Oryzias latipes: one gene and its partners. The main gene of each other region encodes a partner of the protein of the gene in region 2 in a complex. Links are inferred from orthologs where the notes say so. Each region holds a gene or a part of one and is shown on either strand. Other genes may lie near its edges. The genes, in order: ccna2, e2f1 and ccnf.

Region 1 (5,122 bases), on a different chromosome or scaffold from region 2:
GCTGTTGTGTTCATCTGCACACATGAAGGAAAGATTCATTTCAGATGTCACTGACAGCCGAGAACTGCAGTACATCTGCAACTACAGTGGAGGAAAAACGGACTTGATCCTTTGCTGATTATGTAGGTTTGCCCACTTTGAAATGGAGTGACAGATGGAAGCTTCATTTAAACAGAGAGAGATGGAAAATAAGCGAGAAATGCACTTTAAAGAATGTATATAATTGTATTTGAAATAGGCAAAATAATATATCACAATGGGATATATAGCTCCTACAATGAAGGATGTCTTATTCCTATTTTCTGCTGAATTGAAATTAAAATCAGGAAACCAGCGACTCTTCTCTGTGAAGGTTTGATGTTTGGTGATGTACTTGAGGTTCTGTACATTCACTTCACCCACATCTCTTCTGGAATTGTCAGGAGCTTCAGGTTCATGAGGGAAACGCCAGTTTTCTCATACCAGAGTATCGAAGCATCTTGGATGAATCTGCCAGTCTTCTGGAGGAATACAAGAAGCAGCCAGCACATCTGGAGAGGCTTTATGGTACATTGCAGAAGCCACATTTATCTTAATTTCTGTTGGTCTCCTGACACTAATTTCTATTTCTTTATATTTGTTTTTCCTGCAGGAATGATCACTGACCTCTTCATTGATAAATTCAAGTTCAAAGGCCAGAATGTGAAAACAAAGGTGTCATCTCTGTTGGAGATTCTGGATAACTATGATCTAAACTCTCTGTTAGAATTTTTCAATGATGTTTGAGGTTGGATGAAATAAAATCCATTCACGTGTTCTGCTTCTATGTTGCATCTTTATGTAATGACAGTTATAGTTTGTGTCATGGTGCCATGCTGTTTTCAGAAGCTGTCGGTTTCACAATCCACAATTATTTCTGCTTAAATCCAGACTTTATAAATTCCTCCAGGTAGTTAATACAGACTCCTCTTTTTCATTTAATAACATATCACAGGTTCATAGACAGAAATCAAAGCTAAACGGACTGCATTTCTATATGAAAATCTCTGTGAGAAACTATTTAAAAATGAAATAGTCAAAAGATGTCATATGATTTTTTAAAGATCAGACCATATTAAACTATGTAGAAATGTTTTGTGGTGTTTTTCATTGCCTGTTCAATCCCCACAACACATGACTGAACACATCTTCAGTGACGTGCTTTGTTCTTCTTTATTTTTATTATAATGGCCATTAAACCCTTAAACAGAGAATCCAGTGTATTATATTTGGAGAACCTTTTCCTTTAAATGAATCCTTACTAACTGCAGGTCAAATAAGCTCATAAGCACTTGAAATCTGACAACACTTCAGAAAGTGTCGTTTTATTTTAGTTTTTGTAAATAAACACGCTCAGAAGAGTCTGCAGACGGTTAAAATCCACGGACGTCGTCCTGACTGCCGTCTGCTTGAGCAGGGACGTTTCCTTTCGTTTGCTGCTCTGTGCCGCTGCAGACAAACGGGTCCAACCGGTTTTGAATTTGCAATCAAGACATTTGTACCACTGCGGCTCCAGTAGTTTTGCAGCGTCACCATCTGTGCGCTTTGTGATTGGTTGGTTCAATCCTCGCGGGCTACTTGAACTGAGAGAAAGCAGAACCCTGTTCCTAAATGTCTGCTTGCTAGTGGTTCGTGTCCTGGTCGGTTGTGCTGTGGACCCGCGTGACTATGGAACCGTAGTGTGTTTGTGTCCCGCGCTTTGGAATCGCTCTACCGCTCACGCGCTCCTCTGCTGTGGCGCTGCTGTTCTGTTTTTTCGTTGCCATCTCAACTGTTTAGTTTTGAGTTTATTCGGCTCCACTTCAGGCTAGCACCCGACCCGATCCCCGCTACGAACGACGAGGGGTCCCGAAGAGTTCAAAGGTCAAAGCCAGCAGCGAGTGTTTGTTGCAGGAAACATGTCGGCGGCAAACCGAAGCGCGGCGAGTGAGCTCCAAAACCAGGAGAACATGCCGTCCAGCAGGCTGAGAGGCGCCATCAAAGCCCGGCCTGCAGCCAGCGAAAACCTTCCGCCCAAACAGGCTGCCAACAGAACCGTGCTGGGAGCTCTGCAGAACCACCAGCGGAACAAAACCCAAAGCCTCCGCGGCGCAAAGCAGGTAGCATGCCGCCGCACGGCCCGCTCCGCGGCGGGGCGCCAGCCGCCGGTTATCCGGCTGTGCTCCCGGTTCCTCACGGCTGTGGCTCGGTTCTAGCACCGTGATAACAGTCATTCGCCTTTAGCATCTGAACCTGTCTTAGATCTGCTTCTGGAGATGGTCTTTGTAGTTTCATGTTCAGTCTGTGCGCCATTTTAGCCTCACTCCTCCTAGTTTACCTTACAGACTGTTCTGTCTTCTGAAGCAGATCTGCTGCTGTTTGCCTTCAGAGCAGAAACTCACCTTTCTTGTGTTCTGTTGCCTCCAGGACTCTGCTCTACCCTCATCCTGTAAAGCTGACGATTATGGGAAAAGCGTCCTGGAAAAGCCGCCTGTCAAGCAGCCGGCCTTCCAGATCCACATGGATGAGCCTGATGGCGCCTGCACCAAGAAGACCGTGTCTGAGGCCCTCAGAGCCAGGGCCCCGGCCCCTCGCTCTCCTGTGGCCGTCCACAACGCCCTGACATGCCGACAGCCCCTGGCTGCCCTCGATGTCCCGTTGGTTGTGGAAGCCGGCTTTGGTGGGCTGCTGTAGAATCTTGGCTTGTTTAGTAATGACCGATGTTGGCTTTGGTGTCAAAGTGAGGTGTCATCATCTGTGCACTAAATGACTTTCAGATTCTCCCATGGACATGTCGTTGGTGGAGGTGGACGACAAACAAGTTAATGTCAACGAAGTCCCAGAATATGCAGCTGAAATTCATTTGTACCTGAGGGAGATGGAGGTGAGAGACTCTCCTTTTCCTTTCTTCCCCTCCTGTCATCTCTGCTACAACAATCGGGTATTTGTTTCAGGTGAAAACCAGACCGAAGGCCGGCTACATGAAGAAGCAGCCTGACATCACAAACAGCATGAGGGCCATCCTGGTGGACTGGTTGGTGGAGGTTGGAGAAGAGTACAAGCTCCACAATGAAACGCTGTATCTGGCCGTTAACTACATTGATCGCTTCCTCTCGTCGATGTCCGTCCTGAGGGGCAAACTCCAGCTTGTTGGGACTGCTGCCATGCTGCTGGCTGCGTATGTGCCAATTATCCTGCCCAGGAAAACACGACTAGTTTGGTTCGGAAAGGTTGAATGACTTTGTATGTGCAGGAAATTCGAAGAGATTTACCCTCCTGAGGTGGCAGAGTTCGTCTACATCACAGATGACACGTACACCAAGAAGCAGGTGTTGAGGATGGAGCATCTGGTGCTCAAAGTCCTGTCATTTGATCTGGCAGCACCAACGATAAACCAGTTTCTTACTCAGTACTTCTGCCACCACGGCGTCAACAAACAGGTGGAAAGCTTGGCAATGGTGAGTGTTCATGTGGTCCGTCGTGTTGGTCTACAGAAGCATATGGATGTGCTCTGACGGTGCTTGATCTGTCCTCAGTACCTCGGGGAGTTGAGTTTGATAGATTCAGACCCCTTCTTGAAGTACCTGCCATCGCAGACGGCGGCTGCAGCCTACATCCTCGCCAACCATGCAGTGACCGGCGGCTCTTGGGTGAGACTATTTCCCTCCAACTTAAGTTAGGAATGTGAAGGGTTATACGCTTGAATGTTTTGGTTTGAGATGCTTTATGGGGACGTGGGGCTGTTTGTCACATGCCAGGCTGAGGCTCATGGTGGTTGTGGAAATGTAAAATTGGTTCACTGACATTTTCTCTGCTCTGCTCCAGCCCAAATCCTTGGCAGAGATGACGGGCTACATGCTAGTAGACCTGATGCCGTGCATCGAAGACCTTCACAAGATGTTCCTGAGCGCCGCTCAGCACGCCCAGCAGTCTGTCCGCGAGAAGTACAAGGCCTCCAGGTGAGCTGCCGTACTTTGATTTTGTGTACTTCTATTTAAGGATCGTTGGAAAATATTTGTATTACTCTAAAAAAGTATCAGAGGAATCTGACAATTTCTGAGAGCTCAACTAGCAGTAAAAACTTCCCAACCACATTTTTTTTTTTTTACAATAAGTAACCTTAAATTCAATTAAATGATGGCTAAAAATGTGTCTTTAGTTGTACCGCGAGATTAGAGGTGTTAAGATGATCGGATAATTCTGAAAAGTTGCATGGAAACAAAAGGCGGCTCCAGACTCCAGCATCTTCACTGTTGATGGTAAACTCCTTGGCCTGTTACTCACTTCAGTGACACTGCAGGGAGGAACATGGTTTCAGAAATGTGTAGCATTTGTCCTCTAAGCTGAGAATGTTGTAAAAATCCTCAGTCGTGTAATCAGAATGCAGATTCCTGAAGGCTGGCAGTCCTCCAGGAGACGCTGTCGTACTCTGACGTTGTCTTTTCTCCACAGATACTCTGAAGTCTCCACGATCGCTGCTCCCTCCAAGCTGCTGCTGAAGTGACCTGCTTGTTGTTGATGTATTGTTAGTCTTTTTAATCATTTTTTGTAAATGACGTACCAGTTTTAGACGGCATGTTCTGCTCTTTTTGGAGTGGTGCTCCTTTTTTCTTTTTTCCTTAAAGAGGTTTTAATATTTTTATATTTCTAGTCTCAGCATTTATGCCATGTGCATCCAGTTGTGTAATCAATGGCTTTTAGTGTCGGTCTGTCCTCATTCAGTGCTGCTTTAATCTGCAAATGTTCAGCCTTTGTAGAAGCCGGGCAGTTTCCTTCATCTTAGACTGCCTGATGTGATGCAGATTAAAGGCTGACTCCATGATCTGTGTCCCGTTTCATCCACTGGCTTCCTGCACTGTAGACCATGGCTCTTATAAATAAACTTCTTTTTGAAGACTATCCGTTTGTACACATGAGGGCAGTAAAGAACCGCTGCTGGTTTAATCTGGTTTCAGAGAACTGTTCTGGTTTAACTTTGCTGGGGAGGAGCTCAGAATGCACAGGGCTACACTTTAAGGGTTTGTCTCCTCCTCCAGCTGTGTCTGACATCCAGCCTTCAGTTTTTCGCTGAAACCAAATTAGGGTTTATTTATACAATATAAACATCTGGGCTCTACTGACTTGC
Region 2 (5,037 bases):
GGCGGGACGGTGATGTAGGTGGACACCTGACGGGACGGGAGTGAGAGGTGAACATCCGCCCGCTCGTGCCGCATCGGCGCCGTCACCTCTCTCACCTGTCGGTTGGCAGGATTTTGTTGCACGGAGCTGATGGACGGGACGGGCGCGTAGATGTTGGTGGAGGCCAGGGACACCGTGGACAGGGAGGGGGCTCCGGAGTGGCACTGCTCCCGCTTGTGTGTCATGAAGGCCGGCAGGGAATTGAACTGTTTCTTACACTTCCCACACAGGAAAACGTCCTCGTCCTCTGCAGGGAGAGCCCACGGTGAGAAACCGTTCCTTTTTTCGATGAAAGAAGCCTGTAGACTGATGGAAATTTGGCCCACGGGCCGGACTTTCGACATGCCTGATCTACATGGCTTTTGAGAGGAAGAAGGTTTAAGTTCCACTCCAATCATCCCCTGATCTCTTTTCGTTTTTAGCCAAAAATACATTGGAAAAAAACTGTTTGTTTTCTAGAACATAGATTCTGCAGAGCGCCAGGAGCTGTGGGCGTGACTGTTGGCACAGAGCAACCCCCTTGTTGCTGAGAGCTCTTTGTTTACACACTAGATAAAAGCCCCTCAACCTATTTGTCTGCAAGTGGATGCATCAGAATGGGGCGGAGCAGGGAGCCTGTGGCCCCGCCCGGCGGATTTTCTACGTCACAAATGCGATCTTTTACGAATACTCGGAAATGCAACTTTGAGCTTAGTTGTCTTAATCTGTAGCAGTCCTGTGGAGCTCGGTGCAGAATGCTCCTTACCCATAGACTGGATGGTGGATCCTGCAGACACATTCTGGTTGTTGGGGTCATTGACTCCCCCCTGGCCATCCAGCAGGGACTGGACTGCTAGAACGGTCTGGTTGTCCATGCCTGAGGGGATGGAGGGAAACAGGGATTTAACATCAGTAACAGCTTTTCTTTTTACAACATGTTAGAAGAAGATCTGCTTCTCCATGAAAGTGACAGAAACAATAACGCGAGGAGTGCATGTTCACATATTAATGAATAGCTTTTATTGTCACATGTACAGCTTTTACACTGACATACGAGATGAGTTATTATATTACAGAAATAATTAATATTACATTTACAAAAAAAGCCGTTTATAGCAGTACAGTCTTAATCTTTAAAATATAATCAGGTTGTTTACAATCATCATCATCAGATCAGGCAGAACCCTTCAGTTCAGGGTGCTTACAGCCTACATAATACCCGTTTAAAGGGTGATTTAGTGTTCAAACAAGTCTCCAGTTAATTTACATGATGTGGTTTTCTTTGGCATATAACATATTTAATAATTGCGCGGTAAATAAGACTATATTTGTACCTTCCAGCGCCTCGAATATTGTCTGCGCCATCTTACAGCGCTCCTGTTTACCATCGGTGATCGATTGGTAGGGTCTGTTACTTTAGGTGCAGACCCCCCAATGAAATGCTTACATTAATATTTGCAAATAGAAAAAAACTTATCACATTTGGTTCAGACCCCCAGAAAACTCTAGTTTAGAAAGTTCCTAAGCAATCAGATTTAACTTTATTTTTTGTTAATCTGATTGCTTAAACGGAGAGGGAGCGCTAGGGACTACATTGAAAAAACGTAACTTTTTTAAGCTGGGACGCAAAGACTGTTACATCATATATTTAATATGGTAAAGGAGTTTATCTTTTAGTTTTGGGAAACCTTACATGAAACTGACACTACGTGTTTTACTATTTTGTTTAAAATTTCCTAAACAAAGCAGTTAAGAAGCCTTTTGTCCGTGGAACGTGAATGCACCTCCCAATCAGCAAATCTGTGCTCTGGAGAGTCACAGACGGCCATCTCCGCCAATCAGAGAACACCAACCTGGTCACATGGAAGGCCAGTTTTCCCCATGCTCTGTAACGTGACAGACGGCCATTTCCACCAATCGGAAGACACCAATCGCGTCACGCGCAAAACGAATCCCACTGGCCAATCCCAGCGGTCGCTTTTCCCCACGTGCCAGTTTCGCGGCAAAAAGGATTTCGCGCGAAAACCGTCCAGCCTTGTTTAGATATAGATCAGCTGGGACAACAACAATGACGGCTGCTAATGGGGTCGGCGCGGCTCGTTTACAGATGGACCCGATCTTCGGCGAGCAGACGAAGGAGCATCGGCACATTTTTTAACGTTTGAGCGAGTATTTCCTCCGTTTTGTCTGCATCTCCCGCGTTTCTCCGAGTGCTTCCTGCGTGCCCCAACAGTACGAGGGGGACCGAAGAACTGCAGCTAATCCCTGAAGCTAGCATGCTAAAGTTCCCCGTATTTCCGCGCTAAACTCTCTGTCGTCGCCGTCGCCCGGACGGATGGTTGCTTTCTTTTGGGAACTATTTTCTCAAAGATGGTGTGGATCTGCGATCATGATGCCTCCGCCGAGTGAATGTGTATTTTTTTTATTGCTTAGATAGCCCAGTTCTGTGAGCGTCTATAAAGTTTTCCGAACCCGTTAATGAAGCCATATCGTAGGGAAAAGGAGATAAACTTTTAGGTAGTGGTGGTAAATGTAGTCCTCTGCTGTTGTTCGTGTTTATTAGCAAAGTTGTTGTAGTCTTTTCTTGTGGTAAGCTAGTTCGTTAGCTTGGTAGCTCTGTGTTTGAGGACGGAGTGGCGAGGCCTCTGACAGGAAAACGAAAGACTAGCAGGCTAGCTCGCTCATGATCTCAATTTACGGCGGGTTTCTTCTTCTACTTCGTCTTTTGACCTTCTTTTATTTCCGCTGAAAACGGCGCGCGAGCCGAGCAGCGCGTGAGCCTAAAGTAGGATGCGCTCAGCGGGTCGTTTCCTGTTTGGGCTCCACGTCTCGCCTTGACGTTTGAACCTTCGACTCCTCTGTGGTTGATCTGCAGATTTCAGGCTCGCTGTAGGTCAACCTTCAGCAGGAGGAGGAGGAGGAGGAGGAGAGGTTAATGGATCAGCATTTTCTCCTCAAGTCCTCCTAACATGTTTGGGGTCACCTGGTGCTGAGCCTGTTTTGATACCCCAGTTGGTGCCCCCACCCTCCCTGGCATTCCCCCAGTCTGCTGCAGGAGCCCTTTGGGCGGCAGGCAGTGCCATGTCAGAGACTCTGATAACGGGTCAGACATCCGAGGATCTGCTGAAGGACTTTGAGACTCTGCTGAACTCCGGGAGCATCGATCTGAGCCAGGACCACCAGATCGTCATCATCACCAGCCCCAGCAATGAGGGACTCCACCCGCTGGCCGCCCCCAGCAGCACGGGGGAAATCCTGCTATTCGCCACGCCGCAGAGCCACGCCGACGCGGGGGGCCAGGACAGGAGGAGGCCGGCTCTGGGAAGACCTCCGGTGAGGGCGTGGCTTCAAGGCGGCCGCCGCCGCCACATCATCACACGCCGGGGTTCACATAATCGATTCCTCTTCATTTGATGATTAGGTGAAGAGGAAGCTGGACCTGGATAGCGACCACCAGTATGTCAGCACCACCCGATCCTCCGCCAGCCAAGCACCTCCTTCTACTCCTGCTCCTCCCAGAGGTACGCCGCACGCTCAGGAGCAGGAGCGCCGACTCGGCATCCTTTCACGGCGCTGAAGCTGGCGTCCGGTTAGCGGGGGCACTAAAGGAACATTCCACTGCATTTTTCACCCTAAGACCACCTTAGACCAGGTCCTTTTCAGAAACCACAGGACCTGGGCTGCTCAAACCTGGATTAAAATTAGGATTTAGATAGTAAAGAATTCATTAAACACAGCTTCTGATTTATGAACATTGAAATGGGATGATTTTATGTAGTTGATCAATTTAAAATGATCTATTTTTAGTCTGCCGTCGTTTGGTGAGCTGCATTGCAGGCAGACGACACGAATTCACAAGAGGGGAGGCAACAGAATCCCAAACAACAGAGCGCTGCGAGCAGGAAAGCCACAAAAACTTTAAAATGATTAAATAAAAATGAGTCCAGGTCCAGCGGTTTTTCAAAAGGACCGGGTCTTAGGAGGACCCGGTGCGTAAAATACTATAAAATCCTCCTATTTCACATTTTCATGAGTCAGAAACTGTGTTTAATGAATTCTTTACTATCTAAATCCTAATTTAATGCAGGATAGAGCAGTCCAGGTCCTGTGTTTTTGAACAGGACCACCAATCATTTTACATCTTTTGGATTGCGTAACGCTCAGACTGACTCATGACATCATGGCGTCCACATGCTGCGTGAAGCGTTTCCGTCCGCAGACGTTTGGGGCCGTTGGGATGAGAAGTTGAAGGAGAATTTCTGCTGAAGGCTGAGCCTCAGTTCCTTTTGTTTTTTTATCACTGAAATCCACATTTGACCGTTCAGTTCTAAGATGTTTCCTTCAGCAGAATCTTCATCGGTGGATTTCTATTTTTAAACCACCAAAAGACCCGCCGTGGCTCCGAAATCCAGGTCCCGTGGCCACGTCAGAGAGGGCGGGGCTTGGAGTTTCTTTAAAGGCTGGTTATAAATATTACCTTAAAGAAAATAAAAGTTTCGATGGCGTGGTCCAAACGAGGCCTGCCTGTGCCGCTGGAACGTCTTCACAGCTGGAGTCGGAGGATCACCTGTTTTCCACCTGGATGTGTGTTTTGTTTGTGGAGGAGGTTTAAGGCGGCGTGTTTTTCACTGCTTTTCCAGTTCCTCGAAGCACGGCGGAGAAGTCGAGGTACGACACCTCCCTGAACCTGACCACCAAGCGCTTCCTCAACCTGCTGTCCCAGTCGGCCGATGGCGTGGTGGATCTGAACTGGGCCTCGCAGGTCCTGGACGTCCAGAAGAGGCGCATCTACGACATAACCAACGTCCTGGAGGGAATCCAGCTCATCTCCAAGAAGTCCAAGAACCACATCCAGTGGCTGTGAGTTGATGGTCATGGGGGAGGTGACGAGCACGGAAACAGGAAATGCTACCGGAACCGCAGCTGGATGATGGACCTCTATCCAGCCGTTCTGTTGGGGAACATTATTTTTGAAGGAACATTTGGTTAGACGTTGAAACCTCTCAGGAGTTGAATTAA
Region 3 (5,182 bases), on a different chromosome or scaffold from region 2:
AATGGTATCTGAACATGAAAAAACACAACTTCAAATTATGCATCAGTCATTTCAATTTCCAATATGCTGTTTATTTTGTCCTTAGTCTATTCGTTTTAGGAGAACAAAACCATAAAGAAATAAAAAGTCTAATTTCCAGATGTGCTACGACATGTTTTTTTGGAACAATTTTACAACTGGATGCTTTTGATGGAGAAAATCAAAATGTCATTTTTAAGACCCCATTATGCTGCCTATTTGTTATCATTTACTTTGTGGGGTTTTTTTTACCTGAAAGTGGCTGCGATGGGTTGGAGTTTCTATGGAAACAGTGCATCCAGTTGAAGATGTCACAGCCCTTGCCCTGACTGAGGTCACTCAAGATAATTTGATTTTGCTGCATCTCCAGTGTTAAATAGAGCAAAGAATATTTCCCATAGTGAGTTAAGAGGAAATACACTTTCTTTATTGTGCAAGTCAAGATAAAAATGGGAAATAAATAATATTGCCGTGGAACCTTTTTTGACACTTCCAAAAGCCTTTGCCCTCTTAAATGTAATTACTGAGTAGTAGCTTTGTTTGTAGCGATGAGATTAGGTGAACAGGTGATGAACCGATCAATAGAAGGCTTGAAAGCAACAAAGGACTGACTGTGCACTCTGGTCCTTTATAACCTCCTTCCAAAAACTAGCAATCAAGAGGACACTATTCAGCTAACAGAGAAGTTTATTTATCGTCAATAGAGACGCAACAAAAAGGTCTTAATCATGTAGTTTTCTCCGAGGCAGCTGCAATAGAGGCCAAACCAATCTGTTGCTTTCATTCATTCATTTGTGTTGTCGGTCACATGGTTACTGAGATGTGAAGTGATGTGTTTTTGTGTGGGTTGGAGGGGGGGGACTCGTTTTTGTTATCTCGTTAGGACTTTTGCTGGTATAAACAGAAACCTTGTCAGGGTTAGAAACCCTTTTGGGTATGAAAGATTGGTCCAAATGAGGCAGGATGTAATTGCTGGATTCCTGGGTATGGGGGCAAAGGTGTACATGGAGGTTAAACTATGGTAAACTAGAACCTTAGGGGAGGAGGGGCAAAATCCAATAAAGCCAGGATATTATATAAAGATTTGTGTAAATCCATGTTTTGCTCTCAAAACTGCAGAAAAATAATATATCCTTACATTTTTTTCAAGAACTGCTAATTATATCAGGAAATTTAAATTTGCATTTAGAGTAAAGAGAAAACAACAACGCTTGTAAATTTAAATCAAAAGTTAAGAAGTTAAAGGTTTGCACAATACCAAAACATAAAAATAAATAAATAAAACTAACAAAGAAAAATGTACATTTGTTGTTTTTTATCTTATTTACTTAACAGTGAGCTTTTGGTTCAAACTTATTCTCCACAGTTTGAGTACCAATAACGTAGTTGGAGCTGTTTTTTTTTTTTTTAAGTTCTTCTATTATACCACTGTGGGGAGGGTTAATTTGTAGCTGTCCCTTTAAAAGCGGTACCTTTAAATTGTCTATTTTATGTGACTACATATCCCATGGTTCACTTCAAAATGGTCGCTCTGTGGACAGCTTCATATTCAGGTCATCCAATTATTTGTGCTTTTGGGCGAGCGCGTACTTCGAAAAGGCATTACGTTATCCAATAGAATTCTCTACTTTTCCAGTTTATACCGTATGGCCAACCACAGCCTTCGCTCTGCGGGATGACCAATCGGAAAGTCTTGATGCAACGGATGGGCGTCACCACTTTTCACCAATCAGATTAAACAATGAGTTTAAACCATGGGCGCGGGCGGTCCTAGACCGCTTTCGGGGCGGGGCCAAATGTGGACACGCTTGGATTTGAATTCAGGCAGGAGCTAACAATTTATAGGATGTTAGCTGGTGATAGAAAGACAGCAGATATCGTATCATTCTTAATTTAGTTTTCTGACAAAAGCAGCAAATAATTTTGCTTGTTTTAGGTGGTGTCGTCACTCATTATACGCACTTGTTCCGTGTTGTATCTCCATACATCGGTCTTGAGCCACTTGCAATGAAAGCGGGCGGTAAGTAGATTTTAAAAACTTTCTTCCTACTAATATTTATATCTTCCGTGAAACAATAGTTAAATATTTTGCCTTTTATGAATGTAAATATATAGTCTGTCTTTATTTGTAAGTATTCAGAGAGTGCAGTGAAATTTAGCAACTAAGTAAGCGATGTACTAACAAAACTTGTTCTATTTAAGTTAATACAAACCTAAAATCAAAAATAAAGTCCATAACCTTTAAATTAATCTAGCTTGTTTGTTGTAGTAGTATTTAAATATATATAACTATAAACTAGATTTAAAAATAAAGAACTCAAGCTTCAATCGGAATACGGGAGGGAAATTTGGGCGCTCATCTGATTCGATTTCTTCAACTCAGAAACTTACTTCAAACTATTTTTCTGCGATTATTCAGGTGCAATGTATATTTAACACAACATTTTTTTAAATGAATCCTTATAAAATGGTTGGTGTTTGTTTAAATCTTTATCATATTTATTCAAATATGCAGAGAAGGCCACACGAGGGTGTCAAACGTTTGTCATCTTCATGATGGAGGGAGTTGAGAATTTACTGTCATTTATCTTGAAGGGTCTTCATATTTTCAACTTTTTATCCTTAATTTTCATCTATTTACAAAAATATGACCAAAATAGTGTTTAACTGTATTTTATGAAACTTTATGCTAAGTGAAAAAGTTATTGCTGTAGAGACGAGGCTTGCTGTAGAATCTTATTTCTTTCTTTTTTACATTTTTTTTTAAAATAGGATTTGATTATTCTTGATTATTTTTTTATTTTATTTATGACCATCTTGACCAAATAACACAAGAGGAGGCAACTGCCTCTAAAATGCCTTTATAATGATGTGCAAATATTGATTTTCGCACAGATGTGAGAATGAGTTTTTCGCATTACCCTGTGAAGTGCTTTTGTACACTTGAATGAAATTCTGTACATTTCTGCGTGCATTAAAGATGCTGCTCTAGAGATGCATCCACAAATCCATGTATTGATGACTTTTTCCTCCCTTCCTCTGTCTACAGTTGTCCACTGCCGTTGTTCAAAATGTTACTCGGTTCCAGTGCGGAAGCGGGTTCGTAAACGCTCGTCGTCCCTAACGCTGCTGTCTCTGCCTGAGGAGATTCTTCTCTGTGTGCTTCAGTGTCTGTCTGCAGAAGACCTCCTCTCTGTTAGAGCAGTAAGTAATGATGTATGCATTTGAATTGTGCAGTTTGTTCTTTAACATATGTGCTGCATTTTGTCAAATCTCAAGTGACTGTTCTTTGCGCATCTTGTGACTAAAAACTATAAAGTTTCTTTTTGTTCCTGCTTTTGTTAATCTTATTTTGTTTTGGTTGTAGGTTCATTCCCAGCTGCGGGATATTGTAGACAACCACTCCAGTGTGTGGGCCAGGGTCAGTTTCAGAGACCGATGGCCATCCCCCAACACCTTATGGCTATTTGAAAAGTATGGTTCCCTCTTACAAAAAAAGAAAGAAATTCACTGTTCTGACTGCTTGTCATTTATCGAGTTTTTAACTGCAATTTTTTTTTTCTCAATCTAGAGCTGCAGAAAAAGGGAATTTCGAGGCTGCTGTGAAACTTGGGATTGCTTATTTATACAATGAAGGGCGTAAGTGCACTAAAGGCTACATTTCCTGAGCAGTATGTATTTTAATCAAAGACAAAATGCTCTCGTTCTCAAGAGCAATAACACAACATAACATCAAAAACACCTAAAGACAGCTTTACACTATCAAGGGGTCTTCAATCGCATCCTCAAGGCATCATTATACATTGCTTGCAGCCTCTGCATCCTCAACAACTTTTAATTACCCACAAGTGGGCAGTATATGAAGTATGCATTAGGAGAAAAAAATATAAAACTTGCCTTTGTGTGCGTCTTCCAGCACTATCTACCTCAGAACGGTATATTTAAGATGCTCGACTGGCGTCTAACAGGAATATTTCAAAAACACATGGTTAAAAAAAGTCAGAAATTTTTTTTTTATAGCTTAAGACACTTATGAGTTTGTCTTGATATGAACCTTTTCTACTGTCTTCCCTTTTGTTCTTCAGCGTTGCTGAGTGATGAAGGGCGAGCGGACGTCTGCGGTCAAAAGGCCTCCCACTTCTTTAGCCTGGCGGAAAGCGTGCGCTCCCCCAAAGCCGACCCATTCACTTGGGTTTTCATCCGTCCGCCGTGGTCACCCACCGGCAGCTGCTGCAAGGCCGTGGTGTTCGATCACCTCAAGGCCGAGTGCGATACTAACATGGTAGGTGCTGCTGCTGCTGTTGTTGCTGCTGCTGTGGCTCCATCGAGTCCATCCTGAGGAGCCCTGTATCTGTGTTTCTTTAATCTTTAGCTTTGTCTTCTATATTTGACAGACAACAATATGCTTAGAAAAAATCAGTCTAAGGTCAGTGGAGGGTAGAATCTGGGTTTTAGGTGCTTATTATCAGCAGATTACATTTTAGCAGAAAAATGATGGCCTTGATGGTCTATTTTCTGCTCCTGGAAAACACTGACACTAGTTCCTGCTGAAACTATTACTAGCATATCGATTTTAATGCGTTTACACACACCAAAGTACTTTTATCGATCTATTTTTGGTGGAGATTTTTCATTCTTTCCATGTGTTCCATTATTGATTCTTGTGCTTCCTCTGCAGGAGAAGAAGGGTCCCTTGTTGCACTGTTTGGCCAGAGTTCTGCTGCTGTTTGAGGTGAGTAAAAAAGCTGGGTTAAATCTGGTTGTTTAGGGCGTTGTTGGTTCAGTTTCTGTCTGCATGTCATGAATATGTGTGCTGTTTGTCATGGGGGACTGTGTTGGGTTAGTTGTTAGGAGCCCACACAGATAAAATCATTGTTTTTGTCTGTTCTATGTAACTGATTCTTATTCACAGAATCACTGTTTGTCTGTGTTTACGAGCATGTTTTTCCCAATCAATTTTTAAGCACAATGTTTTAGGCGATTTTCATAACGTTTGAGGGATTTTCATCTTCTTTTTTTTAGGATGATGGGAGAAGATCAGAGGCCATATCGATGCTGGAGGAGTCGTCACAGGCTGGCTGTCTACAAAGCTCATACCTGCTGTGGCTGCACAGTCGTAAAGATGCTGTAAGCTCAAATGGATCCCTCTGTAAATCCTAATACT

The links.
Region 1: the proteins of e2f1 (region 2) and ccna2 are in contact, whole or in part, in a crystal structure (PDB 1H24), measured with the Homo sapiens proteins. The link is inferred for Oryzias latipes from reciprocal best matches to the Homo sapiens genes E2F1 and CCNA2. Residues at the interface, in NP_005216.1 of Homo sapiens: Val88, Lys89, Arg90, Arg91, Leu92, Asp93, Leu94, Glu95; in NP_001228.2 of Homo sapiens: Met210, Ile213, Leu214, Trp217, Glu220, Val221, Glu224, Arg250, Gln254, Tyr280, Ile281, Thr282, Asp283, Thr285.
Region 3: the proteins of e2f1 (region 2) and ccnf are in contact, whole or in part, in a cryo-EM structure (PDB 9CB3), measured with the Homo sapiens proteins. The link is inferred for Oryzias latipes from reciprocal best matches to the Homo sapiens genes E2F1 and CCNF. Residues at the interface, in NP_005216.1 of Homo sapiens: Gly84, Arg85, Pro87, Val88, Lys89, Arg90, Arg91, Leu92, Asp93, Leu94, Glu95, Thr96; in NP_001752.2 of Homo sapiens: Met309, Ile312, Leu313, Asp315, Trp316, Glu319, Val320, Met323, Arg349, Leu352, Gln353, Trp379, Leu380, Thr381, Asp382, Thr384, Asp504, Tyr505, Val508, Leu510, Thr511.

Annotation. Positions count from the first base shown.
Region 1 is NC_019868.2:207,469-212,590, forward strand, and holds ccna2 (cyclin-A2), read left to right. Parts: upstream 1-1,548; 5' UTR 1,549-1,916; coding exon 1,917-2,117; intron 2,118-2,424; coding exon 2,425-2,677; intron 2,678-2,774; coding exon 2,775-2,881; intron 2,882-2,951; coding exon 2,952-3,175; intron 3,176-3,250; coding exon 3,251-3,455; intron 3,456-3,533; coding exon 3,534-3,647; intron 3,648-3,822; coding exon 3,823-3,956; intron 3,957-4,449; coding exon 4,450-4,501; 3' UTR 4,502-4,896; downstream 4,897-5,122. Other genes in the region: bbs7 (Bardet-Biedl syndrome 7 protein), read left to right, coding at 423-546, 632-765. UniProt on the Homo sapiens protein: Cyclin which controls both the G1/S and the G2/M transition phases of the cell cycle. Functions through the formation of specific serine/threonine protein kinase holoenzyme complexes with the cyclin-dependent protein kinases CDK1 or CDK2.
Region 2 is NC_019865.2:1,999,894-2,004,930, reverse strand, and holds the start of e2f1 (transcription factor E2F1), read left to right. Parts: upstream 1-1,894; 5' UTR 1,895-2,803; intron 2,804-2,893; 5' UTR 2,894-3,099; coding exon 3,100-3,351; intron 3,352-3,439; coding exon 3,440-3,539; intron 3,540-4,658; coding exon 4,659-4,878; intron 4,879-5,037. Other genes in the region: znf341 (zinc finger protein 341), read right to left, coding at 1-26, 96-286, 785-895, 1,353-1,383. UniProt on the Homo sapiens protein: Transcription activator that binds DNA cooperatively with DP proteins through the E2 recognition site, 5'-TTTC[CG]CGC-3' found in the promoter region of a number of genes whose products are involved in cell cycle regulation or in DNA replication.
Region 3 is NC_019866.2:11,076,868-11,082,049, reverse strand, and holds the start of ccnf (cyclin-F), read left to right. Parts: upstream 1-1,633; 5' UTR 1,634-2,025; coding exon 2,026-2,038; intron 2,039-3,067; coding exon 3,068-3,222; intron 3,223-3,385; coding exon 3,386-3,492; intron 3,493-3,589; coding exon 3,590-3,657; intron 3,658-4,103; coding exon 4,104-4,300; intron 4,301-4,696; coding exon 4,697-4,750; intron 4,751-5,040; coding exon 5,041-5,145; intron 5,146-5,182. UniProt on the Homo sapiens protein: Substrate recognition component of a SCF (SKP1-CUL1-F-box protein) E3 ubiquitin-protein ligase complex which mediates the ubiquitination and subsequent proteasomal degradation of target proteins.